Linked DNA regions of Drosophila melanogaster. The protein of the gene in region 2 interacts with the protein of the main gene of each other region in a pairwise test. Each region holds a gene or a part of one and is shown on either strand. Other genes may lie near its edges. The genes, in order: l(1)G0020, CG43861, kumpel and Strump.

Region 1 (8,112 bases), on a different chromosome or scaffold from region 2:
TCTGAGTGTGAAGCAAAAGCGGAAGCTGAATGCCAAGAAGCCCATGCGCAGTTACCAGGCTTTGGAGAACACATCCAAAGTCCAAGATCCCATTGCCAAGCGGTGAGTTTGCAGCATATCCCTGACAGGCGATCTCATTTATCTTGAAATCCCTGCAGCAACCATGTGCGCCAGAAGAAGAACGGACGTAACATCGAGCTGGAGGTGTGCAATCCAACCAAGCCGCGCCATCGCCAGGCCAACAGCGATCGAGCTCAGTACTACGTAAAACTGGAACAGCGTCTGGCCGACAAGAAGAACAAGAAGCTTGATGTCGAGAAGGACATCTGGCAGGAGGTGGATTTTCGCGACGAGATTCCTGGACTCAAGGACGAGAAGGGTTGGATCAGTCGCGAACTGGCACTGCACACAGCTGGAAATATTGGCAAGAAGGTGGTGAAAACTCACGCTAGTCTGCACCACAAAACCACCAAAGCCAAGTGAGCACACTTTGCTGGGCCTTAAGCAGTCGGGTTATTATTGATTGTAATATGTCTTTTAGGAAATTCGAACTCCCGCATCCGGGCATGAGCTACAATCCCGCACCCGAGGATCATCAGGCGCTTATTGATCAGGTGGTGGAACGCGAGGAGGGCATCATTAAGAAGGAACAGCACCTTAAGCGCGTGACCACCAGCATGTTCTCCAAGGTGACGCCCGAGGAGAGAGATCGTCGTCGCCTAAATGAAATGAGCCAAGGCATGGACGAGGAGGAGGGTAGTGAGCTCGATGAGGATGTCCAAACGAATGGGAAGAAAAAGGAGGACGATGATGAAAAGCCATATCACACAATCAACGCTCCCGTGGAGAACAAAAAGAAGAGCAAGCAGGCTCGCCGCAACGAGCTCAAGCAAAAGGAGCTGGCGCGTCAAACAGAGCTCAAGAGGAAGCTCAAGCAACAGACGGCTGACCTGATACGGTAAGTTTCTAACTGATGGCGTTGTGGTCCATCTCTAATCTCTATTGTGTTTCTTCATTCAGCATCAAATCGATTCGCCACGAGCTAGACGATGAGGAGGAGGACCTGAATGATCTAAAGAAGCGCCGCAAGCAGCGCGCCGAGAAGGCCAAGTTTGAGCCGAAACGCCTGGGGCGTCACAAGTTCGAGGAGCCAGACCTAGACGTAAATCTGCCCGAGGATATCGCCGGAAATCTGCGCAACGTGAAGACTGAGAGCAGTCTGCTGAAGGACCGCTTCCACACGCTGCAACGCAACAATATGTTGCCCACGACAAAGCTCGTCAGCCGCAAGAAGTCCAAGGTCAAGCGCTTCGAGCGCAACTCCCACAAGGAGCCGGGCGTTAGCTATAATGACCTCAAGGAACGGCGCAGGGCGGCCGCCGCTGCAGCCAAGGCTACTGCCAATATCAAGATATAGTTCAGTTATTAGGTCTCTTTATTTTTAACGGAGCTTACAACAATATGTACTTTTCTATAGAATTAAAATCCACATTCTTTTTCCCCCCAAACGAAAAAAATTATGAACTCTAGATCAGGGACTTGCCCTGACTGCGTCTCTGTTTCGGATTGTTCTTCTTTTTCTTCTTGGACAGCGGAGCTGCCAGGTCGCCATCCTCACGCGTCTCGATTGGTCCATCCAGTCGCTTTACGCCACTGAAACGAAAGAGAGGCAAATACGAAATAAGTTATATTTTTTTTAACTGAGTGATGTTTATAATAAAACGAAACTGGAGACAAATAAATAAACGTGGTTATGTATTAAGCACATTATTAAAAAAAATAGGCGCACCTACCTCTTGACGGAGAGCAGCCCGCTGCCACCGCCTGTTCCGTTTGTTTCCAGCGCCTTGGACCAATCCTCTTCGGTGCCCTTGATTTGGAATTCGTCCAGCTGCTCGGCCTTCAGGCGCTTCAGCTCCTTGCGCTGCTGCTTGCTCAGCTTCTGAGCGGTTTGATCCAGCTCCTTGTCGAGGGACAGAGTCAGCGGTTGCAGTTCCTCGCCCTTGGACAGATCCGCCTCCCGCAGCATGCCGCCTTCGATATGCTCCTCCAGTACCGACCGGAAGCACTGATTGCACCGTTTCATGGCATCGAAAAATTTCGCCAACAACTGGTTACCCGGCATATTCAGCTCCAGACCCAACGCATCCACAGTCTTGCCCTGCACGCCCAGAGCCAAAAGGATGCCCTGCTGCACCAGGTCAAGCTGCAGACCATCGATCCTGCCCTGAAAATACAGCTGGGCAATGTCCGTGAGCAGATCGATGATTAGACGAAACTCGGACTGCTGGCGGGCGTAGCTCTCCAAGCGCTGCAGATCGTGCGGCAAGAAGTAAACATCCAGCATTGGCTTATCGAGTACTTTCAGTGCACTACCTTCCGTGTCCACGGACTTGTTCTTCAGCAAGGCCAAACAGAGTTTCGTCTCGAATTCCCTGAACGTCTTTCCCATCAACTTGAGGACTCTCCTGCGGAAGTCCTGGTAGTACAGGCCCAGCCAGGGCGTGGCATTGGGCGTGTGCAGCATAATGCAGCTATGCTCGGCGGTCAGTTCGTTAGATTTCTGGCTCAAATAGACGGGCACAAAGCCGGCGTTCTTCCAGAACTTCAGCAGCTCGGTGGTGAGGCCATAGGATGTGCCAATATAGTCCACGTGTTCCGGGACACGTTCGTGCAAGCGCTGCAGAAGTGTGGGTATACGACTACGTGGCCGGATTTGTTCCTTCAGCAGACTAAGTTCCTCCTCCTCCACTTCCTCGATACCTATGCAAAATTTAAAGTATTATGTAGTGCATAATAAACCATTGGCGTGCGTGCACTCACCTTTACCAGCATCCTTGCTGGCAACTGGACCGTCCTCCAGATTAGTGTGCTTCCTTGCATAGTAGTCCTTGAGCAGCTGAATGGCCCGCTTGCCATAGCCCATCCTCTGGTAATTCGGATGCGTGGCTACCCTCACAATGCGAACGCCACACAGCTTGGGAAAATCTCGATCGCCATACTGCTCGGCTACGTTCCAGGGAATCAGATCGCCCGCCGCCTTCTTGCCCCTGCCCAGGGAATCGCTGATGCTCTGGGCGGAGATCTGACCCTCCAGTGCCACTTGGATAACCACCAATATCTCTGGCAGGGCGTCCATTCGCTGAACCGGACCCAGTAGACAGAATAGATGATGCGCCGGGGCATCGCTCATCATCTGCAAATCGTTTGGTGTGTTCTTGTAGTGCGAGGACACATAAATGGAGACCAGGCGATGGAGAAAGGCCTCGGCAGCCTTGTGATACGAAAACAGGGCGTCCCTGTCCACATAGTACAGTTCACAAGCATCCGGCGTGGGACAGCCCGAGCTAATACTCGGCACCGTACTGGCATCCAAGCACAGCAGGTTGATCAGCCACTTTTCTATGTCGTCGTTCTCCTGATACCGAATCGATTCCTCCAGTTTCAGTGGCGGCCTTGCATTGTTATCCTTTTGCAGCTGGGAAATGAGCTTCAAGCTCAGCGATCTGCCAGTGCCCTCGTATCCATTTATCGTACTGGCCATGAATACCAAATACGGACCGATCATCTTCTTTACCAGCGGCAAAGGAATGGCAGCCGCCTCATCGATCAGCAGAAGATCGGCTGCGTTCAGCAGATGAGTATCGCTGGGAGCTATGTACTGAATGGTCTGCCTGCTGCTTCTCGTAATATTTATTCTTATTATCGCCTTTTTGTAGTCGGCATTGGTGGAGCGTATAATGGTGTAGTCAGCATGCTCCTGGTACTCCAAGGCATCGAAGCCCTTGAGCACAAATTCAAAGAGCGTGATTAAGTTCTCCGGATGCGGTGAGGTAACGTAGATGTTCACATAGCCAAAGGCGACGGCGGCGGCAATCGACAGACCCAGGGCGGCCGATTTACCACGACCACGAGCCGCTGTTAAGGACATGGGCGGCTTCAGTTGCTTGTCGACCAGCGCCTCAATGAACTGGGCAACGGCATTGGCCTGATCGTAGGTCTTGCAGAGATTAACCAGAGCTCCTGCTGGTTGAACTGTGAGCAGGCTCTCCTTCAGCTCCTTGAGGCTAGCCTCGTTGGGCGATCGACCGGCGCCTGCGGGCTGAAAGTTTAGAAACAAATGGTATTAGCTGCTTTAGAAGATTTACAAGCATCAGCTTACATTCACTGGCTCCACGTTGATGGTCTTGGAGCTAAGTGGCAGCACGGTGAGGTCATCGTTGACCACCAGACAGCGCTTGCAGTCCGCCAGGGAGAGAATGAGTCGCTCATTGAATCGACAGGTCACCGTCTGATGGGCTTCTGTGCGGAATCGCTTGTGCACATCCATGCTCATGGTGTACAACTGTTTCAGCGACTGCAGTGTCTTCAGCAGCAGGATGATCAGACCGCCGCCCTCAACCGTTTCCACAGTTCGAGCCAAAAGATTGGGGGTCAGGGCCTCGAAGTCCTGGAGCACACACACGCCGTAGGTTCGTCCGAGGACTGCGTGCGTCTCGGAGTAGTATCTGCCGTGAATGGTGGTGGCCACTCGAAAGGAATCGAACAGGTCCGCCTCATTGACATCCACTTTGCCCACAGCAATCTTCTTTGCTCGCTTTTTGCCATGACTAAAAATGTATCTAGTTAGCTGAGTTTCTGTGTAATAGTTCTACAGTTGGATACTCACTTGGAGATGGCCTCATCCTTGTTCTTGTAGCACCACAGGACCGTGGGTCGCGCCTTGACCGTCGACTTGGTCAGGATGTCGTAAAGAATGGGAACCTGGTCGCGCGCCTTGTCCCCGATGACGATGAACATGGTTCGGTGGCCCAGCTTGACCCCATTCTCGATCATCACGCGTATCCGGTTGTCTATTTTCTTCTTCACCATGCTTCGGCTTTCCTGCGTTCACTTTTCACTTAAAAACTCCGGTTTTCCGAAGTAAATAATGCAAATGAAATTGTTGCCCGTTCAAAATGCACGTGTGCGGTTTAGAGATGGGCGCTTTGTCGATAGTCGCGACTCAACTATCTACTTTACAATGTCACGGAAATCGTCAATCATATTACCATTGTGAAATGCACATGAATGTTGTTTACACGAAGTCTTAAATCGTAGAATTCGGGTGGGATTTGTATTGATGTCTTCAAGAAGGCAGCTTGAATTTCTACCAATGAGATTTTTTTAAAAATTCCCGATTAACACCACATTCGATGTTTTGAGTCAATGCGATACATTTATCGAGTAGTTGTGCATCTCTAATTCCCCAAGCGCACGTTTATCAAAACAGAACATATTTGATTGCTGTCGAGGATTAGCATAAATTGAAGATGTCATCGTGGAAGAATGCGTCGAAAAGCAACCAGAAGGTGCACAGGGAGCGCCACCAGCCGGAGTCGCGCCAGCATCTGGGATTCCTGGAGAAGAAAAAGGACTACAAGAAGCGAGCCATCGACGCACAGAAAAAGCAAAAGACCTTGAAGCTATTGTACCGCCGGGCGCAGAACAAGAATCCCGATGAGTTCTACCACCATATGATCAACTCCAAGCTGTCCAACGATGAGCACCACGAGAAGGACACGAAGGACGAGCACACGCCCGAGCAATTGGCCCTCATGCAGACGCAGGACCTCAAGTACGTGGTGATGAAGCGCACCATGGAGCGCAAGAAGATCGAACGCTTGAAGGCCTCGCTGGTGGACGTGGATGCCATTAAGGGAGCAGCCAACAAACGTATCAAATTTGACGAAGACGGATACATGGAGTTGGACATGGGCGAATGGCTTTTAAAGCATGATGACGAGGAGGAAGAGGAGGAAAAGAAGAAGAAATCGGTAGGTCACCTCTTTAAAACCAACGAGGTTGTAAGCTTTTGTGAGAAACTAATTTATAATTGATATTATACTTATGATTTATGATTCTACTTGTGTGTAACGATTGCCTTTAAATTTTTTGTAGAAAACAACTGAACCAAACCCCATCAAACAGCAGCGCATCAACGAGCTGAAGAAACGCGAGCAGCGTGAAAGGGAACTCGGCATCGTCCAGCAGAAGATTCAGCTGAAGAACACCCTCAAGCAGCCACGCCTACTGAAGCCGAGGAAAATAAAGCCGGGAACCAAGGACAGTGCGCCCGTCTACAAATTCCGCTACGAACGCAAGAAATAGAATATTTCCCCTCTAGTTAATAAAGCAATTAAGTGTTAGTTGAAGACTTTTGACAAAACTATGATTTTTATTGTTTTGGATTAAGGAATTACATATATAATTCCCAATTTTGAATGCAATTCAAATGCAAGTAACAAGTTAAATGAGATATGGCATCCTAGTTTTGGGTCATTAATTCGAATGTTCTGATCAGAATATTTATATATACCGAATAGAATAATATATACCGAAAAAAAACAAGAAAAAGTAAAAGCGAATGGGTATGTAACTCGACTAAACGCTTTTTTCAGATTCGTTAAATATTTAACGAAATTTAGATCTTTCCAGGGCACAAACCAAATTTAGTGCGAGTTTCGTTAAGTTAGGTACGCTTAGCCAAGTCATGACCCCAACTTCAAACTGAATTTAAACATTTGTAATGTTTTATTTAAAAAGTCAGCTTATTTTTTAAATTCATTCTTCTTATCTCCGAGGAACATTTCAAGACTAATATTTTATATGTGCTCTTGCAAGTTAGTGTATGCAACATAAGTTTTCAATATTCAATGTAACTTTTTTATGTTTGTCTTTTGTAAAAATAAGCAACCGGCTGCAACTTTTCGAATTGAAAACCGCAGGCGACAGACAACCGGGCAAACACTCCCCGTATCTCTTTTTTTTTTTTCTTTTTTGTTTGCCTGCTGGTCCTTGTTTTCCCCGATTAAAAACATATGACACCATTTTGATGAGTCGCGCATTTTGGCACGCCAAATTATGCATAAAATAGATCGCTATGTTGACACTTTCCACAACAATAGATGGCTAGAGACCGGCGTTAAGGGGATGGAAGGGACTTGAATGGGAATGGGATGGGATGGATGGGATCGGATCGGATCCGCGGTGTACGGCTAACCTAATCGGACTTGTCACGAGTGCATCACAACAAACCGGGCTCATCGGGGATGAAGTTGAGGATGAGTCCGAATGGTAACGCAAAACCTGCACAGATTTTTTAACTAGCATCAATTGGGTTTGTAATTTGAAACTTAACTGCCAAACTGCGAGGGGTTCGGGCAAAATGGTATTGGGTATGAATGAATGGAAATGGTATTGTGATTGCGGTGGGCACATGTGTGTGACTGCTCCGAATGAATATGCATGCAACTGGGGTGGCAGTGTATGTTTCGTTTCTATTTTTGTTTACCCATCTGGGGGCGGGCAGGTCAAGGTTTCCCTGAATATTAGTTGCCCCTGACAATGGACAAAGCAAATTCGCGCTTAAGTGTTTGCTTCAAACCGAATTTAACGAATATAATTACAGAATGGCAAAGACAAACCCCAGCTAATAACGATTGGTGGGTAATTTATAAATGATTGTTTCATATAATGATAAAAAAAAAAAACATAAAATATGGTTATTTTGTGTTTGGGAAAGGGATTTCATTGCTTTGACTTTTAATATTACATATGCTGCAAAAGGATTGGTGAAGGAATATAAAATGGATTCATTCAAAGGCTATATAGACCACCATATCCATGTAGATTACTTATAAATATGGATAAATTGATTTTATCTAAAACATTTCGCACTTTTCCAATGATTCATAACTTCCCACGTTGCAGTCCACAAAAAAGAGGATATGAGCATGTTGGGAGTCCTGTTCCCAAAACAGGATTAAGCATTCATTGTAAGCTCGTTAAATCGCGTTGTGTGTGTGTGTGTGTGTGTGAGAATGAATTGCGTGAAATATTTTTTTCGCCGCGAATGCGAAGTGGGGTAAAGGAAAGCGGTTCCCATGTCAAATGCACACGATTCACGCGTGTCGTGGGCGGCGAAGCGGTGAATTAAGATATTTACGCTAACAAAACCATCAATGATGGAAGGTTGGACCAGTCCCTTTCATCCCAGATCAGATCCACACGCGCTGATAGGCGGCCCTCGCCCAGAGCGGAACTCCCAGACTTTCAAAACTCAAGAACTGC
Region 2 (6,959 bases):
GCGAGCATTTTGCATATCCACAGTTCAATGCTTTTGCCAGCAACATTTTAATTAAATTTCAACTCTGACTTTGTGTTTAGCATATTTTGGGTGCCACAACAACCCCGCCATTTCTCCCGCTACCTTCCGTTTGTCAACGGTTGTCCGGTTGCCAGGGAAAAACGCCATCCAAAGGACGAGAGGGGTGGGTGGGCGTGTAGTCAAAGGTATTACCTCCTGGCGTGTCAGAACAGCTTGTTTGTCCTGCTAATTAAAGTTGCGTAAAAGCAATGCCATTGTTGCTGCTCCCTGCAAATACCTTGTGCAAATCAAAGTGACGACCTCGGGCAGATCCAAAGGAGTGACTAGCATTGTTTAGCCACCTGTTCTTTTGGCCTGGCTAAATGGAGGGACTCTTGCCTGCGAACAGCACAACACTTTAATAATACTAATTGGTCGAGCTTCTTGGGAAAGTTTATTCTAATAGATTTGTAAGAGTTAATTACAAAGTGCTCTTGTGAGTGGAGAGCTGATTTAATAGAGGATTTCAATTGTAGCTCTTGAGTTGTGAGGTAGATTAACTGATTGCTTACCTTCTAATGGCTCGTTTGGTGCACTTAGAAAATAAATCTATATATTGCTGAAAATTATAAAATTAAATGATAACTTGAATTATTGCTTTACATGCTATTTTTGAATGCATATCTTCGATTCCTCGAATATTGTTTTCCAGTGTAACATTTCATTTAGAATGACTTCCTAGATTTCCTTACTGACAATCTGACGGATAATTCGTTGACATATTTGCACATTCATAATATTTGCATTGTGTTTGATATTTAAGGACAGATATTTTAATTAGAAAGGGATCAAATTTCGAAGTCGAAGGACGCTGCACTTGAGTGACATTGATACACAATTTTCCAAAATGCTAACCAGACATGTGCACACATTTAAAGCTGCTGTCTCCTCGATCTTGACAGTGCGATTTTCTTTATTGACTGGCACAATTTCCCCAGTTCATAATCAATTATGTCCCATGGCCTCAATAAATGGAAATATTCCCAGAAGAGCTTCGACTGCCAGGTAGCGTGTCAATTAAATGGTCATAAACAAGAGTGACGCCGTTCGACAGACAAAAATTTAAATAAAAATTGGAAAATGAAAAGTCAACACGCTCGACTCAACAGCGGAAACGAAAGCGAGCCCATGTCTCACTATCGATGAGCATCGATGTCTGCGTATACGTAATTTTTCAGTTGACATTCGTTTCCTGACTTTTTCTCAACTATTTATAGCCGAAGTCTGCTTTGTTGGGTAACTTCACTTGTGGTGGCTGCCGGTCTTCTTTATTGTCACCCAGCCATTTGCAGCCATTATTTAAATGGCCCAAATGAAAGAGGAGCAGCTGCGTCTGCGAAAGCCTCCGTTTTGGGCGACGGGCTGTGGATGATATCCCATTTCGAGGAACTCCCGAAAAGGTCGGGACCATATCGTTAGACTCAACTTTAAGTCCCAGCTGCCTAAGGATACTCAAAAATGGCATCCAATTGGCTTTAGATTGGGATTATGAATATAATAGCAAACGATTTGCCTGATGGCTTATAGATGGCAAAACTTTATTCCAAACAGTGATTGCAGTCTAAAGATATTATTAACTATTTTGTAGTTGTTTGTAGAGCAACAAAAAAATTCGGATGTATTTTAATGCAATATGGCTAGCTTTTTACGAATAAAAGAAATAATTTACATGAAATTGTAAAGCAGGTTTATAAATACTAGCACGCACCAATTAATAATAAATGTTTTTTATATGTTTCCTTTGTCTCATCCAATCGTGCACAGAAAATAAATCAGGAAACTTTGGTGACGAACGCCAGTATTCGCAAACTATCCAACATATATTGCACTAAAATGCATGTTTTTCTTGTTTTATCTTATATACATTTTGACTGTATGAGGCCAAACTCAGATTAGGATTTAAAGTACACCTACCTCCTCCCTGGAGGACTTAAGATCGGATGAGTAAATGGATTTGGATTACAAACGCTTCACATCTTGTCTCTGTGTATTCTGATATCCGCTTTCATCCGGACCGAGTGTGGCCCACTTCAAGCGAGTGGCATGCAAATAGGATCGGACCCAGAACGCCCTATTCTTGGCCTGCTCTTTTGGGTCTGGGCCCAGTTCCTTATCTGCCGCGCCCATCTGGGCCTGCCACTCGACGCCGACGTTGTCTAGAGTTGGATTCCCGGAGCGGGGTGCTCGGATGCAGTAGGAATAGGAGTAGGACTGGGCGTCTGGGTAGGAATGGTGCAGGATGAAGCCGGCTGCATGTCTGCAGCGTTTGGCTTAACAAGTGATAAACTTGTCGCTTGTCCGCTCCAAGTCCTTGGACATTTTATTATTCCCGCCTCTGCAGCGAGTGCCCTGTGGAAGCCATTACCCCATTCTCCATTCTCCATTCTCCAGTCACCAGCCCCCAGTCGCCAGCCTCCATTTCGATTCCCCAAGACCCCAACTTGCAACAAGACGCTGCAAATAGTTAAGTACAAATTGCATGGCTAATTTGAGCTGTTGCATAAGGCTTAAGAGCTCTCACGCACACAGACCCCACTTCACATCGTGTTGACAAGTTGACCGTAGAATTAGACGGAGAAGGTGTGAAGTGACAGAAGATTTGGCATGAGTAATGACCGTTGCGAGCTGTGCCCATGAAGTAGGCAGGTTTATTAGCAACTGTCGGAAAATAATTTCCACAAGCACTGAAAATTTGCGGGTTGCTTCCATATAATTCAGAACAGTACCGAGAGTCAAGGAACTCAAGTCCGCCCAGAGTTAACGGCTTAAACAAGACTACAATGTGTACTACCTGGAATTGGTAAATGGCTTCACATGGCCAAATGTACACTTACAAATATAACGTAATTCTACCCTTTTATCCATGCAAACTCAAATTAGCTCACAATATAAACTTTCTATCCCAAAAACTTTTTCGCGACAAAAATTGTCAGAGAGCAGTAGAAAATGAAACAAATAAAACGGAAAACTAAGTAGCTACATTTTGGTTCATACTAACGGAAATTCTGTTTAGAATGTAATCCCGAAAAATGTGTTCACAAAGTGAAGGGAAAAGTTGGTGTGGAGTTATATAGTTATATAGATATAGTTTTGGATTAGTATAAACTTGCAGATGGTCAGAAATGTATCTGATTAAAATCAAAACACAATTTAAAGTACCTGTTAAGCAAGGTAAAGCGAAAAAGTAGCTTGAATATTTATTTTGATTTCTTATATCTACTCCAATTTTAAAACCACATATGTATCTATTAGCGTATCTATTATTTCCAGCTCCTTGAGCGCGCTAATGCGATAAGTATACACGGCAACCACTGGGCCACAATTAACGCAGTTCGAAATAGTTTCACAAATAAAGACAACTAGCACTGATTCCCACACTTAAGTTTCCGTTGTACCCATAACCCAATTCGAGACTTAAGCCCCACTAATTATGATTTATTCCACATGTGGCCAACACCCCCGACCTCAGACCCAAAAAAAAAGCCCATTGAGGCAATTGAAACTCACCAAATGCAAGTGTTTGTTTAGACTTATTTACAGCAGCATTTGTATGCAGCTCGGGAGCGACTTTAACTTCATTTTAATGGTTATATTCACCGACATCGGCCGCTCGTTCGGACTCGGATTGTTGATGTTGTTTTACCTGTTACCGTTCTACAAACGATACGAGCACACAAACACAATCACTGCACTTTGGGGAAGATTTTCCAGAAATATTTTTACAAAACTCCGCGGTACTTTGGCCAAACAATTGGGCTTAAACCAACACAAGCAAATGGGGTTTGTTGCGGCAGGCGAATTTCGACAAAATAATGCTTTACACCTTTACACAACGGACTAATTTAGCATTTGCCTAATGGGGCGCAATGAGGCTTTGTTTTCGATTGGTTTTTTCTCTTTTTTTTTTCAGTGGGCCTGGCCAAAAAATGAATTCAAAAATCGAGCGGGTCGGCAGCCGAACGCGTTGAAACTCGTTTTTAGACTGAGTGGTGAGCTTTATGTTCGCAGTTAGTTACCCGCGCGAAAGCATCGCGAGTTCGATTCGAACATGTTGCCTTGCCTCCGTTCAGTTTTTCTCCTTCCTAACCAGGTGAAAATATAATTTTTAACACAGGCGTATGAGTGATATTCAAATTCGATGTAAAATACTGAACTGTGTAAAGAAATCCTTATTTAAATATCTCATTAATAAGAAATATTTAATGGATATATTTCATTTAAAATTATTTAGCATTGTTCTTAATTCTCACGTCTTTTAGTTTCCAAGACATCCTGTTCTAAGACTCTCTGTCGAAAGATTTACACGGAACTAAATTTCCCTCTGTTATTAGTTTGCTATTTACATACCTAACAAAAACTTTCACATTTTTTAAATCGACAAAATTCATCATCACATGATATTATTAATACTTGATTTGATTTATAAATAATCAAAACATGGTCAATTCTAACCTCTATCATATTTGCATATCAGCTGTTCTAGAAGAGCTCACAACCTAACTATTCACAATTCCGAATCTGGTCACGAAAATGACCGCAGAGGCAGAAGCAAGGGTTCGAGAAGTAGGATTGTTGTTTATCTAATAAAAATAAGTTTAGCCAGAACTCAAAAGTAAAACTCTAAATCTCAATTTTAAGGGAATTGTTATTTTATACTTTAAGAAGAATTTAAGCCCAAGATTGTTGGACTCAAACACCAGCTTGTTCGAATCGAACTTCAACATGCCAGCCCAGAATCGAACATGCTGGCAGGTTGCAATCAAACTATCTATCTATCTAACATATATCTATCGGTTGATCTATCTATCTATCTATCTTTATATCTATCTGTATATCTATCTATCTGTCTATCTATCTATCTATTTATATATCTATCTATCTATATATATCTATCTATTTACCTATCTATCTATCCATCTATCTATCTATCTATCTACCTATCTATCTACCTATCTATCTATCTATCTATCTATCTTACCATCTATCTATCTATCTATCTACCTATCTATCTAACCATCTATATATCTATCTATATATCTATCTATCTATATTATATATTCATCATCCACTCGGCGAATAAAACAAACGACACTGAGCTGCAGTCACAAATGAACTTCGTTCTTCTACCGGCAAGATGCCGTAGAATATGGCCAGAAAATAAAACGGAGCGCGTCCAGTTGGACAAGCACTCACCTTGTTAAAACCGAATCCAAAACCCAGCTGCCTTTACCTGCCAGCCGTGCCGTTTTAAAGTCGCATGATTAAGCAATAAATTCACACCAGGGCAAGAAAACGCAAGGCTTCTAGTTGCAGTCGCAATACCGAAAGAAAAACTGTGCAACTAACTATTTGGCAACATTTTAGGTAAACAAGTAGAAGTGCATTTTCAGCCACAGTTTACTCAAAACTTGAGGACACTTACCAAATTATATTTCATTTGTATAGCATCGAGAAATTTTATATATAAAATTTTTACATCGATTGTATGCAGTTTTCAGGTGTATCTACTACTCCAACTTTGGCGAAGATTTCCTCAGGCTAACGGTGTTTTGTTATTTATAGTAAATGTTACCTTTTGCTCCACTGCTTTCGGCCAGGTTTTCTATTTGTATTTACAATTGATTTGCATTTGTGTAACACTGTTTCCTCCATCGAGGAGCGGAAGCCAGCATCGAAAGAGCGACGGAGAAAGGTGTAAATATTGTGATTATGGTTGAGATTGAGATGTAGGTAAATAATATGGCCATCGGTGTGGGTTCAACAGGTGCCTCAGGACAGGCGATAGTAGTAGTAATAGTAGTAGTAGTAGTTGCAAGATGCAAAAAGAAACATAATCCACTTGAGCGGAGGAGGACTTTGATGCAATCGGTGTTAGAAAAGAACTGCAAGCCAGGAAGTGGGGATAATAACAGGTATATCGTCTTGTGAGGTGACGAAACCCAATCTTGTAGCCAATGAACCCAAGTTTCTATTGAGTTTTCCTGTCTAACCTCATATTAAGTCACAATGTTAGTAGAAAAGTAAATAGATTAGAAGTATCTTCCTTATGGATAAGACTATCTTCCATTCAGCTTAAAACAGGCTTTGCACACTCGGAACGCTCCATTTGAGAACGCTGCTTTAGCCATCTGTACTCGTCGCAATATTTACATTCTAAATGACTTCATTGGCAAGTCAAACAGATTAAATCTCTATTAGTTTTTAAGTGAGCCCCGCCAACGGCGCTCGGCTGGCGTCAATGGACCCCGTCAAGCCGAAGAAGTCGAGAAACCGATCCCGAACCCAGGTCCAAACCCGACCCTGACCCCAAGGCGAGTTTTGGGCACGCCAGTAATGACGACGACGCATTGTTTCCACCGCCGATCTTGGCCATGTCGCTGAGTCCACTTAATTTCCTTTCGGTCTTCTGGCCCTGTGCTGATGATGACTTAATCGGTGATCGGAGTTTTGGCTTCGGTGGGCGTTATAATGATTTATTATGCCGATTGACCACGCACTGTAACAACAATCTTACTAAGACCGACCGAAGTGAAAACCAGAATCGCCAACTCAAGTGGGATTCATTGGGATTGATATACTCTTGTGAAGTGAGCGTACATGAAAGTGGTTTGATAATAGCTCTTGAGCTATTTATGGATTTTATAGCTGTGAATGTGGTTGGTCTGTGTGGATGTGGATATATCATACAAACCATTTGTAGACCCAACCATTCATTTAAAATCGTTGCCAGCTAAGAATTTGTTTAGCAACAAGTTGTCTTCTTAAACGAACATAAACATCCAAGGATTCCCTGGGCAGAATCCAAAAGGTCTGCCATCGGGAACGAGCCGTGAAAACCAGTTGACTGAGATGCAGATTCCCGCTGTCCCACTGCTTTACATTTCTCACTCAAGCCTGTG
Region 3 (7,141 bases), on a different chromosome or scaffold from region 2:
GTACGTATTATAGACCATTAAATTTCATATTTGTTCTTTAAGGTCCCTTTAAAACTTGTACCCCTTTTACTTCGATGCTCTAAGATAATCTTACCTTGATTAAAAGCCAGCGCTGGCACATAGATGACGATGGGCAGCCAGATAAGCTAAGAAAAAAAAAACACTTAGCATCAAAATTGCTTTAAAAGTATTCCTTCAGGATCTGAAGGAACGTAACGATTTTCTCTTCACTTGTAATTGGATTAGACTTACATTTGCACCCGTGAAGAAGGCGGATCCCAGCAGACGAACAGATTTGTTAAAGCGCATCTCGAAATACTGTAAATATTTTTTTCCCAATGGTTTGTTGTCTTTCGTTTAACACACAGTAAGGATTGCTCAAATATACACACACACCCACTGCCACACGCAGTGGTCTCGTAAATGTGTGTGTGCGGCAACGCGGCGCATACATAATCGACTATTACTCATACGACATGTAGCCAACACCAACTTATAAACTACGACTATCCGTTTGTCAGCTCGTACAATTGGTATTGTTCGGGCTTATTGTAGCTGTCTTTGTGCGCCACAACCTCGTGCATGCAAATAAACAGCCATACAAAGAGTTCTTACAGCTGGTTGCATACCGATTTTGTCCCGTGTTTTTTTTTTTCGTACCGAACATGTACTCCCTGCTCGCAGTTGGGCTTTGGCCTTACTTACACATTAACATGCCGTCGAATATCAAAAGATTCCAAATTCGTATACTCAAACCAATAGAATTAATGCGTAACATGCAGTTCAATAGGTAAACACACACAATATACTTGGATTGGACAACGTTCGGCTTACCTCATAGGTGGATGTCAGCTGGAGATTGCAGAATACAGGCAGGAATATATACCACGAAATAGCTCCCGAAATGGCCAGGGTCACCAGAATGAAGGCGTACTGCGTGCCATATACATAGATTTCCGTTGATGTTCCCAGAAGCGAGATTCCAGACACGAAGCTAAAAGTGAAATACCAACAATTAGTTCACGCTAATTATGTCTTAAGCTTAAAGTTCAGCTAATTGCCAGTCGATTGATCAAGATCTATTTTCGCCCCGCCAAAGTTTTTTTTTTTCATCTTTGCCATCCCGCAAAGCAAACTTGAACAAAATTTTTTAATTCAATTAAGTTATGGTCACTTAGTCGTTGGTCAAAGTTATAACGAAGGTAGGCCAACTTTTGTAAAATAAATTTAACGTAATCGATTGGCGAAGGTTAAGGGCATTATGGCACCATATTGAATCTTAAAAGTTTGTTTGCTATGAATGGTAAAGATAATATTTTGGTATTATATATTAAGCATGTGTGCTGCTGCTATGAATTTAATCCAATCCGAAACAAATGATGTCTAGTCGCATTTGGCGGAGAAAACTTTTTCCTTGCCCTGCATTTGGTAATCTGATTTTAATGATTAATGTCCATAACAATCATCATTTCAATTTTGGCCGCAAAACAAAATGAATTGCCACCATCGGTACAGAAAGTTGACGGCCGAGAGAAAAATGCCATTAAAAGTTGATAACAAGCGACGTTAAAGTATGCAGACACACACACAACAAAACAATTTGTTTTACAAAAAATTGAAAAAATCAGCAAGGAACAAAGGGCGTTTTATAGAAAGAAAAAAAATTATGCCATGTAATTGTAATTCAAGGCACGTTGGCTGAATTTGTTGCAAAAAGCAAACGACAACAAATAGAATGCCATAACAATAAAAGGCTCACGAAACAATTGTCATTGGGCAAGGCAAATGACCAAGAGCACGGCCAGGATTTCGGGGAACAGGACCTGTCGGCCTGGTCATTAATGCGTCGAGCACACGGCTAAGACAAAGGGACCGCACCCTTCGAAAGGTGCTTGACCAAAATGTGTCAAATACAAGGCACCCCACTCCGCAGGACCAAGGTCACTTGGCCGTCCGAACAGCAAAAGAAAAAGTAATTTGGGCAAATTATTTGAGTTTGCGGCCGAGCACAAGTTTAAATAACTTCAATCCGGCTTAGACACAGTGAGCTGCTAAGTTGTATTTATATGCCAGATATATTTACTCGCAAAGTTCCGCAAGCCATTTCAATATCAGCACAAACCAAAGGCATCCAACCAACCAACATAACACCAAGGCACTCATCATCCATTGACCCTGACAATGAATATTGTTTACGCAATGCCCTGTCCGGAGTCGGAAACTTTTAAATAAAATGCTTCACTGTTTGCCCTTGCCAAACAATTCGCCAGACAATGCTGGGCTGGGCCAGATTATCTATTTTGCCTAGATTACGTATACGCACGTTTGGCCAATGGCATGGAATAAGGCGAACTGACTGAAAGTATTTTGATTGATCTGCCTGGGCTTGGCTTAGCCCATTACGATAATTTGTGCAAATATTAGCCGCATTCAAGCGAATGCATAGCATTCAATTTTTGCGGATTATGCCGGCTTAAAGCGGGATCGCTCAATAAATTTGCAAGCTTCCTTCCTGTCACACTTTCATTTAGGATGCTCAACCTTCTCTGCGGCCGTGTCAAAAGTAATTAGGCAGGTCTGCACAGCGAAAAATAATGGCAAAAAAGTATCCTTATTTTGATCAGCTTCTTTTCTCCTGGAGCTGAACTCATTTTTTTAAATTTAAATTAACAAAATATAGTTAGATCCGTATTTTCTTTTTGAAACCCTGCCAAATGTATTCAAATTGTTTCCCGTGCACATCCCGTTGGCCAGCCAGGATTAAATTCTCCGGGCCAATTTACCATTTGCATATACATATATATACCCCAGCCGAAGCTGTAACTCACCTGGCCACAAGTGACAGCGCGACCGGAAACACTTTCATTTGCCGTCCGCCCACCAGGTAGTCCAGCGCCTCCGAGCCACGCCTCTCCTCGACGCCCGCCGCCCCACCGCCGTCCTTGCCGGCCAGCTTCTGTTTCTTTTGCTTCTTTTCGATAAAGCCGAAATAGAAGCCGATAACGGCGCAGACCGCCAACATGGCGATGAAGACCAAGTAATCAACAATACCGAAATGCTGCAGGGCCTGGCTTAAATCCTTCACGCTGAGTTTCTCCTCACCATCCTCCAGGGATGGGGATGCTGATTGAGTGGGAGTGGGCGTGGGAGTGTAGGCGAAAGTGGTCGAGGTAGTGGGTGTGCTACTACTCGTTGAAATGGTGGAAGTGGCGCCAGTTGTGGAGCTAGTTGAGACCGTGCTGCTAATTACGGCCACTGTCTTCGCAATCGCATTGGCCACCGTTGTGGTGGTTTTGGCCACTACATCCTCCACGGGGGAGTTTACCCCCAGCGCCACGGGATCGGCAGTGGTTGACATTATTTCCGGCACCGCAAGTTGCTTTTATGTAGTTTATTTTTATGGACTTCCAGCCGCGTCACTTTAATGTGTCCGGCTTTGATTACTTTTGCATTAGTTTAACACGAGCACAATCACTGTGAATTAAATTCGACTTTGCGTTTAGTATGGTTCGTTTTTACGAATAGAAGGCCACTTCCGACTTAAAGGGCTTTTTTTAAAGATAATCACTCGAAAGTTTCTAGCTTCTCAATCGCAAGGTAATTAAAAAATAGTTGAATGTTAAATAAAATCAAAACTCGCTTTCTTTACAGAGAAATAAAAAAAAATTATTAATAAAATGAAATTTTTTTAAATCTTTAGAACGCAAGTGTCGCAGACGTATTCAAGGTCAACGGATTCTATCACAATAGCTCTTATTAATGTAAATGTGTACTTTATCAAAAGCTATACAAAATTGTTTTAATTGCAATCAGAAATTGAAGTCGGGCAAAGCACTTCTAAAAGTATAGTTTGATATTAACAAGTCTCTTTTAAGACGATATATAACGCACACGCTCTCGAGATCCTTGAGTTTCGGATTCAGGACAATTCCAATTCGATTTGGATGAGAGCACACACAAGTGTTTGATCCAAATCACCGCCGAGCACTGAACTAATTTTCCGCCGCAAGCTGCGTTAGAAATCTCCGGAGATCTTATCCAAGTCAGCATCATCGTCACATTGGCCGATCGTAATTCACGCAAATCTTGTAAGAGTGTGGGCAGAGGCTTTGTGTAAAGCTTTATCGCCTAAATTGCCAGGGGCATGTCGGATCTGGATAGATAAGCGCACATATGTGCACACCCCCCATTCGGTGTGTGATGGTGTGTATCTCTGGCCAGCCCAAGATCTGCCAGATAGTAAATTACTTTCTTTGTACGCGGACGTGTCGCGTCGGTGGCTTTATTGCCTGGCGCGATGCTGTATATAAAAATGCATATCCCTTGGAATGGATTTTACAACTTTAAAAAAGAAAAAGGGTAAATTTCCACGATAATACGCTTAGCTCGCTGACTCAAACGGGCTGCTACTGGTTTTAGATAAAAATTGAATGGTGATGTGGATTTTTTCCAGAGGTAACACGGTTATCAGGCGTTGGGGCGTGAGCCAAATCGCTGTGTCCGCCGGAGATTAAACAGGAATACTAAATATTTACCAAATGCGATCAGTCAAGGTTAAAACGTGACACATGCGTGATGTACATGGGCCTATAAATTAATACTAAATTCCCTAAGCGCCTGCCCATGTCGAGCATGAATTTCACCAATGCTGGCATCCATTTCGCAGTAATTTGATTTCTAGAATCGAATTTACGAAAATGTCCAACCAAGTGTGCTGGCATGGCCATATCCGATCGGCAATGACTAGCAGGCAAATCAAGTTAAAGTTCAGCACAATAAATAAATACATAGAAACAGCCGAAAAGCGAGTCAGATGTGTACGCCATTTTATTGGATTTAATGCACATTAATGGGCGCACAATGGCAATGATATCATCGCTGGAATTGTGCGCCAATTACTCGATTGCACTTGCACAAAGGCTATCATTTCCAGCGAAATATGTTGTAAGGTATTGTACTATAATATATATATAGCCAGCACACCAACTAATTGATTTTTGACAATCATTTGCAGCAATTACTTACGTCTGCTGCAGGGTCGAATGTAGGAGGTAAATTCAATTTGCAGAAACCTACAAAACGCACACAACGTGACTTCGGCTTTTCGGTAATCTTTTACGGAGCTAATTCCCTGTAAGGAAGGATAGCCTTCAAAAAACGAAGGGGGCAGCAGTAAGAGCTCTCTATTATTAGGTGTAGTGCAAAAAGGACAGCTTAAAATATGAGCAAAAGTCAAAAAAATAATAATAATTAGGTACAAATGAATTAGCTGGAAATATAAACTTTGTAAATAAAAGCCCTGAATTAATCGAAATAACGTTGCATAGTGCAGATTAGTAGTCTATACTAATTCATGTTATAGTAACGCTTCCCCATTTTGTGAATACTTATATTCAGACATGTTCTATAAAAAGATATAGTCTGACGTACTAGCTACCAGACGGAAACCAATAGTAAGATAATAAAGATTAAAAAAAGGGATGAACAATGTAACCGTAGCCATAAAGCAAAAGATAAAATCCGATTTAAATTCGTGTGTAAAGTACTTATGTGTGAAATTTAGGAGCCAAACTAACTCATAGATAGTGGCCAGTGTCAGCCGCAATATAAAACCAGGCCACTGTAACTGTGGCGCTGGAAAAAAAGAAAAACAGAAAACAAAAAGCAAAACAAATGCCACAAAGTGCGGCAAAAATTTAATTATTTTTATACGACCGACGAGCAAAGTGAAAACCAGGCGAAAATGAAAAACCGACTTTGGCTCAGTTTTTCTTGTGTGCTTTTTCATTTCTATACCCAGTATTTAAAAAGCTTAGGGGTAAACTAAATTTCGGAACAGTTAACACCATATATATTTCCTATATAGCCAATATAGCCTATTTTATTTAGTTATTTTATTAGTTTGCCTATCTTTTCCTTTACCTTAGACCAAGTATACCCAATTTACCCTTTAGTAAGTATCTTAAAGTCGCAACCTCCTCCTTTTCTTATATCTTTATAGTTGTTGTGTGTGTTTTTCGATGTGCACACTTGAGCCAATTTAACGCTTCCGTGTGTTTTTTACTTGCCACGCCTCGTTGACTAAGTGCTAAAGAACATTTCGCGGAGGAAAAAATACTTTAATTTCTACCTAAATGCCGAAAACACAATTCCAAAATTAGCACACTGCCATGTAAACTTCAATTAATCTAGTTAAGTAATCGCATTCGTATTTCTTGGCAGACTGAACTATTCAGTGCCATTGATTACACGGCCCACAAATTAAGACCAATTAAATCAAATCCAAATTCGGATCCAGGGAGTATCCATCGCCCACGCAAGTCGTGGCCTTGAACTTGCCAGCTACCAGCATCCATTAGCCAGAAGCCAGACTCTGTTTTAATATCTTGCTCTGCCTTTTTTTTTTTTAGATATCCACCCGGGCCCATTTATGCCCAGACGAAAGCCCAGAAATCAACTTGGCCCTTGGGGGAGTTGCGATGATGCCAAGAACCATGAAATGGGAATGAAAAGCTTGAATATGCATTATTCCTTCGGCTGGCCGGCTATCAACTGGCAATCAGAAGTTGGCCGAGTGGAAAAATCAAATGTATTTCTCTGTTCGAATGTGTGAAGAGGCCGGGGGGAATGAAAAGCGATTGTGGTTACAAGGAAAAGCGTCTGAAAAGTTGGCCATCCATAAGCTAAAGTTCGTAAAGAGTTAAGCTGCACATCTTATCGTCCGAACTTGTTTCTGTATTTATTTTAATATCGGCTTTCGTTTGTTGAAGTCGATTAAACTATATGCAACGATATATAGGTTGTAAGTATTTTTTAATATTTTCTCTCTGTAAATAACTTTTGGTTAAATGTGACTAGCTTATGTGTAAACTTAAAATAAATCCGACTACCGCAGGTATAAGGTATATTAGAGATTAGGGAACCTATTTATCACGTGCCAATGTTCTTTAACTCGTATTCCATCATGATGTCAATTACTGGCTCGTTGATATATTTACGAACCTCCCAGTTCAGGGCGAAATCCCCATGATTCCATTCCGTATCCGCCATGCGGTGCATAACCTTATTGGGCAATCTTTCGGCTATTTGCTCGACATCCTCCACAGCGGCGAGATTGTCACTATCGGCATACCACATGTGC
Region 4 (8,454 bases), on a different chromosome or scaffold from region 2:
CGTTTTTCCAGCAGAGCTCCATGTCCTCGATGTACGGTGACGATGATATCAACGATGTTGCCGCCATGGGAGGTGTTAACTTGGCGGAGGAGTCGCAGCGAATTCTCGGCTGTACCGAAAACATCGGCACGCAGATTCGATCCTGCAAAGATGAGGTATTTCTCAATCTCCCCTCGCTGCAAGCTAGAATACGGGCAATTACTTCGGAGGCGGGACTGGATGAGCCGTCGCAGGATGTGGCCGTTCTGATATCGCACGCCTGTCAGGAGCGCCTGAAGAACATCGTTGAGAAGTTGGCTGTGATAGCGGAGCACCGCATTGATGTCATCAAGGTTTGTTGGAAATGGTTTTATATTCAAATGAAAATATTGATTTCCTATTTCTTACAGTTGGATCCACGCTATGAGCCCGCCAAGGATGTGCGCGGTCAGATCAAGTTTCTCGAGGAGCTGGACAAGGCCGAGCAGAAGCGACACGAGGAACTGGAGCGTGAGATGCTGCTGCGGGCAGCCAAGTCACGGTCGAGGGTGGAAGATCCCGAGCAGGCCAAGATGAAGGCGAGGGTGTGTTCGCAATCGTCTTTCTCTGTAGCCGTTTACTTAAGTCTTTCTCTTGTTGTTTAGGCCAAGGAGATGCAACGCGCCGAAATGGAGGAGTTGCGTCAACGAGATGCCAATCTGACGGCGCTGCAGGCGATTGGACCTCGGAAAAAGCTGAAGCTAGACGGCGAAACAGTCAGTTCGGGAGCGGTATGTATGGTGCAATTATACAAAAAGATAGTGTCTAAAATTTAGGATAGTTGACTACCAGAACGGTTATTAATTAAGCTGTGTTTATCCAAAAAGGGTTCAAGTGGCGGCGGAGTGCTAAGCAGCTCGGGATCTGCGCCGACGACGTTACGGCCTCGCATAAAACGTGTGAACCTGCGCGACATGCTCTTCTACATGGAGCAAGAGCGGGAGTTCTGTCGCAGTTCCATGCTGTTCAAGACATACCTCAAGTGATCGCTGCTGTTGCCCATCAATCGCACCGTCTTCTCCTCGCCGATCCTCCTACTCCGTGGACTGTCGTGTTGTTGTTTTATACAGCTTTACGATTTCATCCACTTGCAATATATTTTAGCCTCAACTTTAAATGCGTCGCGTGTCCCCTGTTGTTGTTTCTTTTTAGTTAGGCGGCTCTATTTAATTTCTATTTTTACATTTATTTACATAAATCCTAAATTCTAATCGTATTTGATTTTAAGCCTAATTTAAAGCTCGTTTATTTTTCCAATAAATTCTCTGTAAAACTTAAACCAAACCAATCCAAAAACAAAACAAAACCAGAGTAAACGAAGAGAATAAAATAATAGAGAGGAAAGTAAAAGAAGGTAAAAGAGAGCGCGCAGTCAGCGGGCGTTTGATTTGTAATTTGTAACATAATAATGTTTGCATCAACTGCATTGACGGCCTTATCTAAACGATATAAACATAATTATTAATATTTAATTATTTAGCTTAGTTTGTTAAACGAAAACGAACCATAATTCCTAGATTTTAAGTAAAAAGCAAGGGCGCGTGAAGAGAAATCGAAACCGAATTACAGATAAAGGTTTTTAAAACCAACTAGATCGAAACAAGTTCAGCAACAGCAAAACAAAAGAACACATCAAAAAAAGAACCGAAAAATATCCATTTAAACATCCATTGAATTAGGTTTAGTTGTTTAAAAAAGATGTAATTTTTAATTACCCATAATGTATAAACGGAAATCAATCGTTAGGCAAGACCACAACAAACCCAACAAATTGTAAATACATTCTAGGCTACGGTTTTTCTAATAGATAACTAGGTAAAAACGCAAACGTAATTAACAAATTATCGATGGCAAGGAGCGATGCGAGCGCAGACAACTTGGCACACCGAAAAAATATGTTTTTATTAGTGGCGCTCGTTCATCCATTAAGAATGGCGATTCATTAGGCTCCATAGATCCATAAATCCCCTAATCCAATCTGAACTACACACAAAATAGACAAATTTTATACAATTAGCTCGATAAATCTTGTAAAATAGAGTCCCGTAAAAAAATTATAACAAATAAATTGACAACAATTGATGTAATTCAGTAAACCTAAGCAAAAAGTGAAACCATTCTAAGCAAATTCTTTGTGTGTAAAAATTAATATGATAAACAAAATGCAGATGCAACCGTAAACAGCGCATAGTTTGGTAGGCATATAACTGAATATATATATATTATTATTATTATGTTTTAACATTAAGCAAAAAAATAAAAGAAAAAATTGAGAAAACTTCAACTGAGCACGGAGAATTATTAGCTGGGAATATGCAGAATTTATTTTAGTGCGCAGTGTTTGCTTATGCATATTATTATTTTATGTCGTATGGAATATGTAACGGTATCTCAGTTAATTAGCTAGTTAAATCATTACAATTTATGTAGTTGAATTAATTAATTTTATTAATATTTTTATATTCATTTATTATGTTAATTAATCCTACTGAAACTTTGTGTAGCTCCCATAGAATGAAAATCTAACACAAAATAAATAGAACCAAATTCACGTTTGGATTCAACCAGAAACACATAACGAATTGGCAATTTTCTTAATGTCGTATTACAACTTGCTTTCTTTTTTAAATTTTAAAATTGAAATCGTGAATCTAAAGTCGGAAACCATTAGATCTTCCATCATTATTGCACTTTAATGCATCGAATAGAGTTATTAAGCCAATATTATAATTTTATTATTCAATACAATAGTAGTTTCATATCTCATTTTAATAAATTTAATAATTGTTATTAAATTATGTACCTCATAGGTTGTTATCATCAGTTTCTCACTTCAAATTTATGCGCCAACATTTCGAAGTTCATGGTAACTCTATAACAACAAAATAGTGTGACCGGACTTATGTAAGATTACTGCAGATAATACACTAGTGCAAAAAAGAATTGATATGACTAAATGAATAGACAATATAAACAAACAATAACATAATTCGTGGACTGATAAAAAGTATGTACAGCTTTAATTAATAATGTGATTATACAAATTAAGCTTTCTCCAGAGAGGCATTTGTTAGAATCACAGAAATCAAGGAAATGCATAATGAGTTTTCTGGATGACAATAATGCCTGTGGGCAGAATCTGCTGAATATAGTGTCGGTGGGTAATTCTATAATAGCAGAGATCCTGCGCCTCAAGGACTACGTGCCCAGTATTTATAGGTAACATAGATTAAAAACCTGCAATTAATGAATAATTGGTGACCACTCCTCCCCAGATTGGACAACAAAGCTGATAAGGCGAAATATGGCGAGCTTATTCTGGATTTCAGCTACTTCAAGATAGCCGAAGATCACGAGAGGAGGATCGAACAAAGTCCGGTAATTTGATGTTAATATACCCGAGACCACACCGTATTAAACACCCTGATTTCCTTCAGGAACTGACCGAACTCGATGATGAGGCACGTGCCCAGCTTCCGCTAATCACACGATTTTACCTGGCCTTCCAGAGCATCCATCACTATGCCTCCGATCTCCAGCAATATATCGAGGAATTGAACACTGGCTACTATATCCAGCAGACGCTGGAGACGGTACTTCAGGAGGAGGAGGGCCGCCAACTGCTCTGCGAATCCCTGTATCTCTTTGGTGTGATTCTCCTCATGGTCGATTTTCACATTCCGGGGGATGTGAGAGAACGTCTGCTGATCGCCTACTATCGGTATAGTGGAGGAGATGCAACGCCTAGCGGAGACGAGAGTAATATCCATGATGTTTGTCTCCTGCTCCGATCTACGGGCTATGTTCATCCGTCGATTGCCGCTAAAGTGCTCGGTTTGGGTGGCAAACAGGCAGGCGCTAGAGCTGCTAGCCTTGTGGTTCCCCGATACCCGGAGGCCTACTTCTCTCGCTTCCGTTTCGATGAGAATTTCGTGGATCTAGTGGTGGCTCGTCTGCGGTGCGATGATATATACAACCAACTGAACCTGTATCCACATCCTGCCCATCGCTCCACGGCTCTGTCTACTCAGGCGGCCATGCTGTATGTGTGCTTGTATTTCTGCCCGCAAGTTCTTCATTCCCAAGGCTCACAGATGCGCGAAATTGTGGACAAGTTCTTTTGCGACAACTGGACCATATCCGTGTACATGGGCATGACAGTGAATCTGGTGGATGCCTGGTTGGATTTCAAAGCCGCTCGATCTGCTATTGAAAATGTGATAAGTCCACCGGCAATCAAAGCACTCTGTCAGCAGCAAAAGGAGCAATTGGGCAAGATCACTCAAAAAACCCAGGAGATTGTTCGTGAAGGAGTTCTAAATGACAACTTTGTTTTGGAGCACGCCAACAAAATCATACACCTGATGAGGCAATCCAATGTCCTGCTCCGCTGGTTTTGCCTGCACACCTCAAGGGAAGTTTTCATCTTTGCTCACACAGCTACTTTGACGGGTCAAGTGCAAAAATGTGTGCTCCACGAACTACAATTCAATCGGAATACGCTGTATAACTTACTGCTTAACTGCAGCCAAATGGAGCTGAGCGTGAGGGAGTTCCTGGCAGAGATTCAGCAGACTAAGGAGGAGCGCTGGACGAAAAGCAGAGAGGAGGCCATGCAAAGGCTCAATGAGTTGAGCGAAGCCTTTGCCGGCTCCAGGCCTTTGTCCAAGATTGAACAGAATCCTCAGTTGCAGCAATGGTTTGGCGAAGTTGCTGGACGTCTCCAGAAACTGGAATTGAGCAGGCCCCAAAAGTCCGGAAGGCTGATTATTCAGGTGATGCAAGCACTGGACGATGTGCAGGAGTATCACAACCTTCATTCCAACATGCTGGTGAAGCAGCAACTACAGGAGACGCGAGACATGCTCAATCAAATGGCACAGCTAATAAACCTGAAGGAAGACATTGAGATTCACATCCAGATGATCACTGACTTCAGCTATGCTTGGCATCTACTGCAGTTTGACTTCACTCCTCCCATGCAGGAACACATCAAAAGACAGCCACAGGCGGTAATAGGTATACGAGCGGTCTTTCTCAAGTTGGCCAGCACCCTGGAGGTGCCGCTGATGCGGATCAATCAGGCCAGAAGCGAGGATCTGGTCTCTGTGTCAAACTATTACAGCACCGAGCTAGCAAACTTCCTGCGCCGCGTTCTGCAAATTGTTCCAGAGACCATGTTCAGTATTCTGGCTAAGATCATCTATCTCCTTACGAATGTTATCAAGGAGTTTCCCACTAAAGTGGAGAAGGAGCGTCTAAAGGACTATGCCCAGTTTGAGGAGCGGGCCAAGGTGGCTCAGCTTACAAACTCCATTGCTGTTTTTACGAAGGGAATTCTTATGATGAAAACAACTCTAGTGGGAGTAATCGAGCTGGATCCTAAACAACTATTGGAGGATGGGATACGCAAGGAGCTTGTAAATCATCTGGCAAATGCCTACAATCTGGGCCTAATATTTACGCCCGAGAAAGGCAAGACTCCTGTGCAGCTTCTTCAACAAAAACTGCAAGCTCTGGCGAAAACAATAGAGGGATATCGAAGATCCTTCGAATATATAGAGGACTACTTAAGAGTTCAGGGACTTCGAATCCTGCTGGAGGAATCGCAACGCATTATTAACTACAATGTGGAGAAGGAATGCAATGCCTTCCTCCGCAACAAAGTGCAGGAATTTCAATCGGAGCACCAGAGCCAGATCATACCCATTCCCAACTTTCCACCGCTGTTGGGAGATCCGTCTAACAACTTCATTGGCCGTCTGGCCCACGAAATTCTGCGGTGCACAGATCCCAAGCAAACTATTTTTCTGGATCTAAAAAGCACTTGGTATGAGAAGAAGGCTCCTCACCAGGAAGTTCTTGCCGGCTCTGGATTCTTTGAGATACTTAGAGAAGCCTTGGCTCCGGCAGGAATGGTGGGATTGGAGCGCCTCTACGCTCACATGTTGGCTGATGAGTTAAAGCGCAACTTGGAACGGTTACAGCGTAACCTGACCTCGGATCGTATGTGGGTGGATACGTTAGCGGCACTGACTCGGGAATTGGAGGCCCGGGACTTCCCAACTCCGGAGGTGTCCAAGCAGCCTTTGAAGTATTATCAAGCTTACACCCAACGATGGCTGAAAGTGTGGCCCACGCTGTTGGATTGGGTTTTGTGCATTGGACAGAAGCAGCTGCTCCGCAGAGAAATTGCAGGAGAGCTAAGCTTTAGCAGTAAATGTGATGCCAAGTTGCTGGAGAACACGGCGGACACCCTGAACAAGTAAGTCAAACTATAACATCCTAAAAATATTTATATATTTGCAATCTCTTCCGCAAACAGAGCCCTTTTACTAGAACTGTCTCTCAGCAAGGATCTCTGTGATGAAAAGGGTGTGGTCATGTTGACAGAACTGCAGGAAACCCTGCTCTATACGGGAAACTTTGAGCCCCTAGAGCAAGTCTTCCTTATCACAAAGAACACCCATAACATGGCCCTCTTTATGTTTCTTTTCACCATTGCCCATTTGGGTCGTATGCAGCATTCCACGATTACCGATTGTCTGTTGCCAAAATCAGCCAAAGATAACATTGATAATGTGCCTTTTATTGTGGGTCTAGTAACGATCTTGCAGCAGTTCCACAAGAATGTCAAGATGCTGTATATATCCTACATGAGTCAGTACGTGGTGACTGTATCGGAGGCTCAGTTACTGTAAGTACTTTAGTTACAAGATAATCCACGAATATCAGATGACATACACTTTTCTTTATTAGGGATAAAGAAATCCTGGGTCCCGAGGTGGTCACCGCCCTGCACTTTCTTCTAGCCTTTATACGCATTGCTCGTTTGCCACTCGGAGTTCTGGAGCAGCGCATTCCCAACATAATACTTAGCGAGTACGAGTATTTATCCACACTGCTAAAATGAAAACTAACCAACAGGTTTGGGCTACACAAACTTTAATAAATCCGAAACATAACAAGGAAATGCCTCGCTGAGGTACAAGAGGAGATTGTAGTTGGATGGGTTGGTAATCTCAGTGTTCCTTCGCTGACAGGAACTCTTTACGTGATAACCGTTGGAGCGTTGCGTCCAGTGAACTTGGGCAGCTGAGAGATCTCCAGGGCGATGTCGATCAAGGGTTTCAGCATCACGCTGGCCTGGCCCAAAACATTCTCCTTCTCATAGGAATCAATGTACAAGCTGAAAAGGAACAATTCATCTATTATTGAAAAGAATTGTTTGATATTAAATCTCATCGTGACTCACCGAACGGTTGCTCCCGAGCTTCCAGTTCCACTGAGGCGCACCACAATGCGGCTGCCATCCTCGAACACAATGCGCAGACCCTGTTTCGTGGCCACCGACTTGTCGACAGGATCTGTGTAGCTGAAGTTGTCGGCCTCCTTGACCTTGTAGGTTTTTCCGCCGCTGGAATAGCTCTTGCCGACGAACTCCGGAGCAGTTATGGTCTTCTCCATGGTGGCCACCATCTCGTTGCAAGGATCGGAAGCGCACTCCTCATAATCGTAGCGGGTGAAATAGTTGCGTCCATACACAGACCAGTGCTGCTTCAGGATGTCTTCGATGCCTTTACCCGTGTGCTGCATCACGGAGATCCAAGCGAGAACCGCCCAGATGCCATCCTTTTCGCGGATGTGATTGGAGCCAGTTCCGAAGCTCTCCTCTCCGCACAGACACAACCTTCCGGCGTCCATGAGATTACCGAAGTACTTCCATCCAGTGGGAACCTCAAACACTTCCTTGCCCAACTTTCTGCCCACCAAATCCACAGCGGATGCAGTTGGCATACTGCGGGCGAATCCTTGAACACCATTCTTTTGGAAGTACGGTATGGCCTCCAGGTAGTGGGCAATTACCGCCAGCGAGTCGCTGGGAGTTACGAAGAACGCCTTGCTGCCAATGATCATGTTGCGGTCACCATCTCCATCGAAGGCAGCTCCAATGTCATAGTCTCCCTGGGCGACAGTGTCAACCAGGTCCTTGGCGTATGTGAGATTTGGGTCAGGATGCAGACCACCAAAGTCGGGCAGTGGAGTGGTGTGGACCACCGATGATTCGGTGGCACCCAACCGGTTCAGGAAGATCTCGCGCACATATGAGCCAGTTACTCCGTTCATTGCATCGATGCGCATCTTCAGAGGCTTTCCAGTGGCTTTGCCACTTACGAAGTCCTTCAGCTTGGCGAAGTCGAAGATTTCCTCCATGTGGCGCACATAGTTGGCCACCGAATCGATCACCTCCACGGTAAAGGGCTTTCCGGCGATGTCGAACGAGGTTACACCAACCTTTGAGATGTCGATCTGCAGGTTGCGCACCAGCTTGTACTCCTTGATCTCGGTGGTGATCTTGTAGATGTGGTTGGTGAACGCATCCGGGGCAGGTCCTCCGTTCTCGCAGTTGAACTTGATGCCGAAATCATTCTCTGG

What was found.
Region 1: the proteins of CG43861 (region 2) and l(1)G0020 interact in a two-hybrid assay, tested with the Drosophila melanogaster proteins (one large-scale study listed by BioGRID).
Region 3: the proteins of CG43861 (region 2) and kumpel interact in a two-hybrid assay, tested with the Drosophila melanogaster proteins (one large-scale study listed by BioGRID).
Region 4: the proteins of CG43861 (region 2) and Strump interact in a two-hybrid assay, tested with the Drosophila melanogaster proteins (one large-scale study listed by BioGRID).

Annotation. Positions count from the first base shown.
Region 1 is NC_004354.4:8,715,294-8,723,405, forward strand, and holds l(1)G0020 (lethal (1) G0020), read right to left. Parts: upstream 4,985-8,112; 5' UTR 4,873-4,984; coding exon 4,670-4,872; intron 4,611-4,669; coding exon 4,163-4,610; intron 4,103-4,162; coding exon 2,824-4,102; intron 2,764-2,823; coding exon 1,794-2,763; coding exon of another isoform or gene 1,790-1,793; intron 1,773-1,789; exon of another isoform or gene 1,654-1,772; coding exon 1,527-1,653; 3' UTR 1,420-1,526; downstream 1-1,419. Other genes in the region: CG1785 (uncharacterized protein), read left to right, coding at 1-102, 159-479, 542-958, 1,021-1,417; CG1789 (uncharacterized protein), read left to right, coding at 5,313-5,816, 5,941-6,150. UniProt on the Drosophila melanogaster protein: RNA cytidine acetyltransferase with specificity toward both 18S rRNA and tRNAs. Catalyzes the formation of N(4)-acetylcytidine (ac4C) in 18S rRNA. Required for early nucleolar cleavages of precursor rRNA at sites A0, A1 and A2 during 18S rRNA synthesis.
Region 2 is NT_033779.5:20,013,253-20,020,211, forward strand, and holds the start of CG43861 (uncharacterized protein), read right to left. Parts: upstream 4,031-6,959; 5' UTR 3,568-4,030; intron 1-3,567.
Region 3 is NT_033777.3:25,903,880-25,911,020, reverse strand, and holds the start of kumpel (kin of rumpel), read right to left. Parts: upstream 4,000-7,141; 5' UTR 3,892-3,999; intron 3,475-3,891; 5' UTR 3,359-3,474; coding exon 2,829-3,358; intron 995-2,828; coding exon 835-994; intron 319-834; coding exon of another isoform or gene 253-318; intron 147-252; coding exon of another isoform or gene 95-146; intron 1-94. Other genes in the region: CG31089 (uncharacterized protein), read right to left, coding at 6,931-7,141.
Region 4 is NT_037436.4:16,119,069-16,127,522, forward strand, and holds Strump (strumpellin), read left to right. Parts: upstream 1-2,933; 5' UTR 2,934-3,025; exon of another isoform or gene 3,026-3,077; 5' UTR 3,078-3,118; coding exon 3,119-3,237; intron 3,238-3,293; coding exon 3,294-3,396; intron 3,397-3,455; coding exon 3,456-6,283; intron 6,284-6,343; coding exon 6,344-6,715; intron 6,716-6,777; coding exon 6,778-6,931; 3' UTR 6,932-6,984; downstream 6,985-8,454. Other genes in the region: Taf4 (TBP-associated factor 4), read left to right, coding at 1-332, 390-563, 624-749, 846-1,004; Pgm1 (phosphoglucose mutase 1), read right to left, coding at 7,069-7,207, 7,274-8,454. UniProt on the Drosophila melanogaster protein: Acts at least in part as component of the WASH complex which may regulate wash nucleation-promoting factor (NPF) activity and is required for its membrane targeting during endosomal sorting.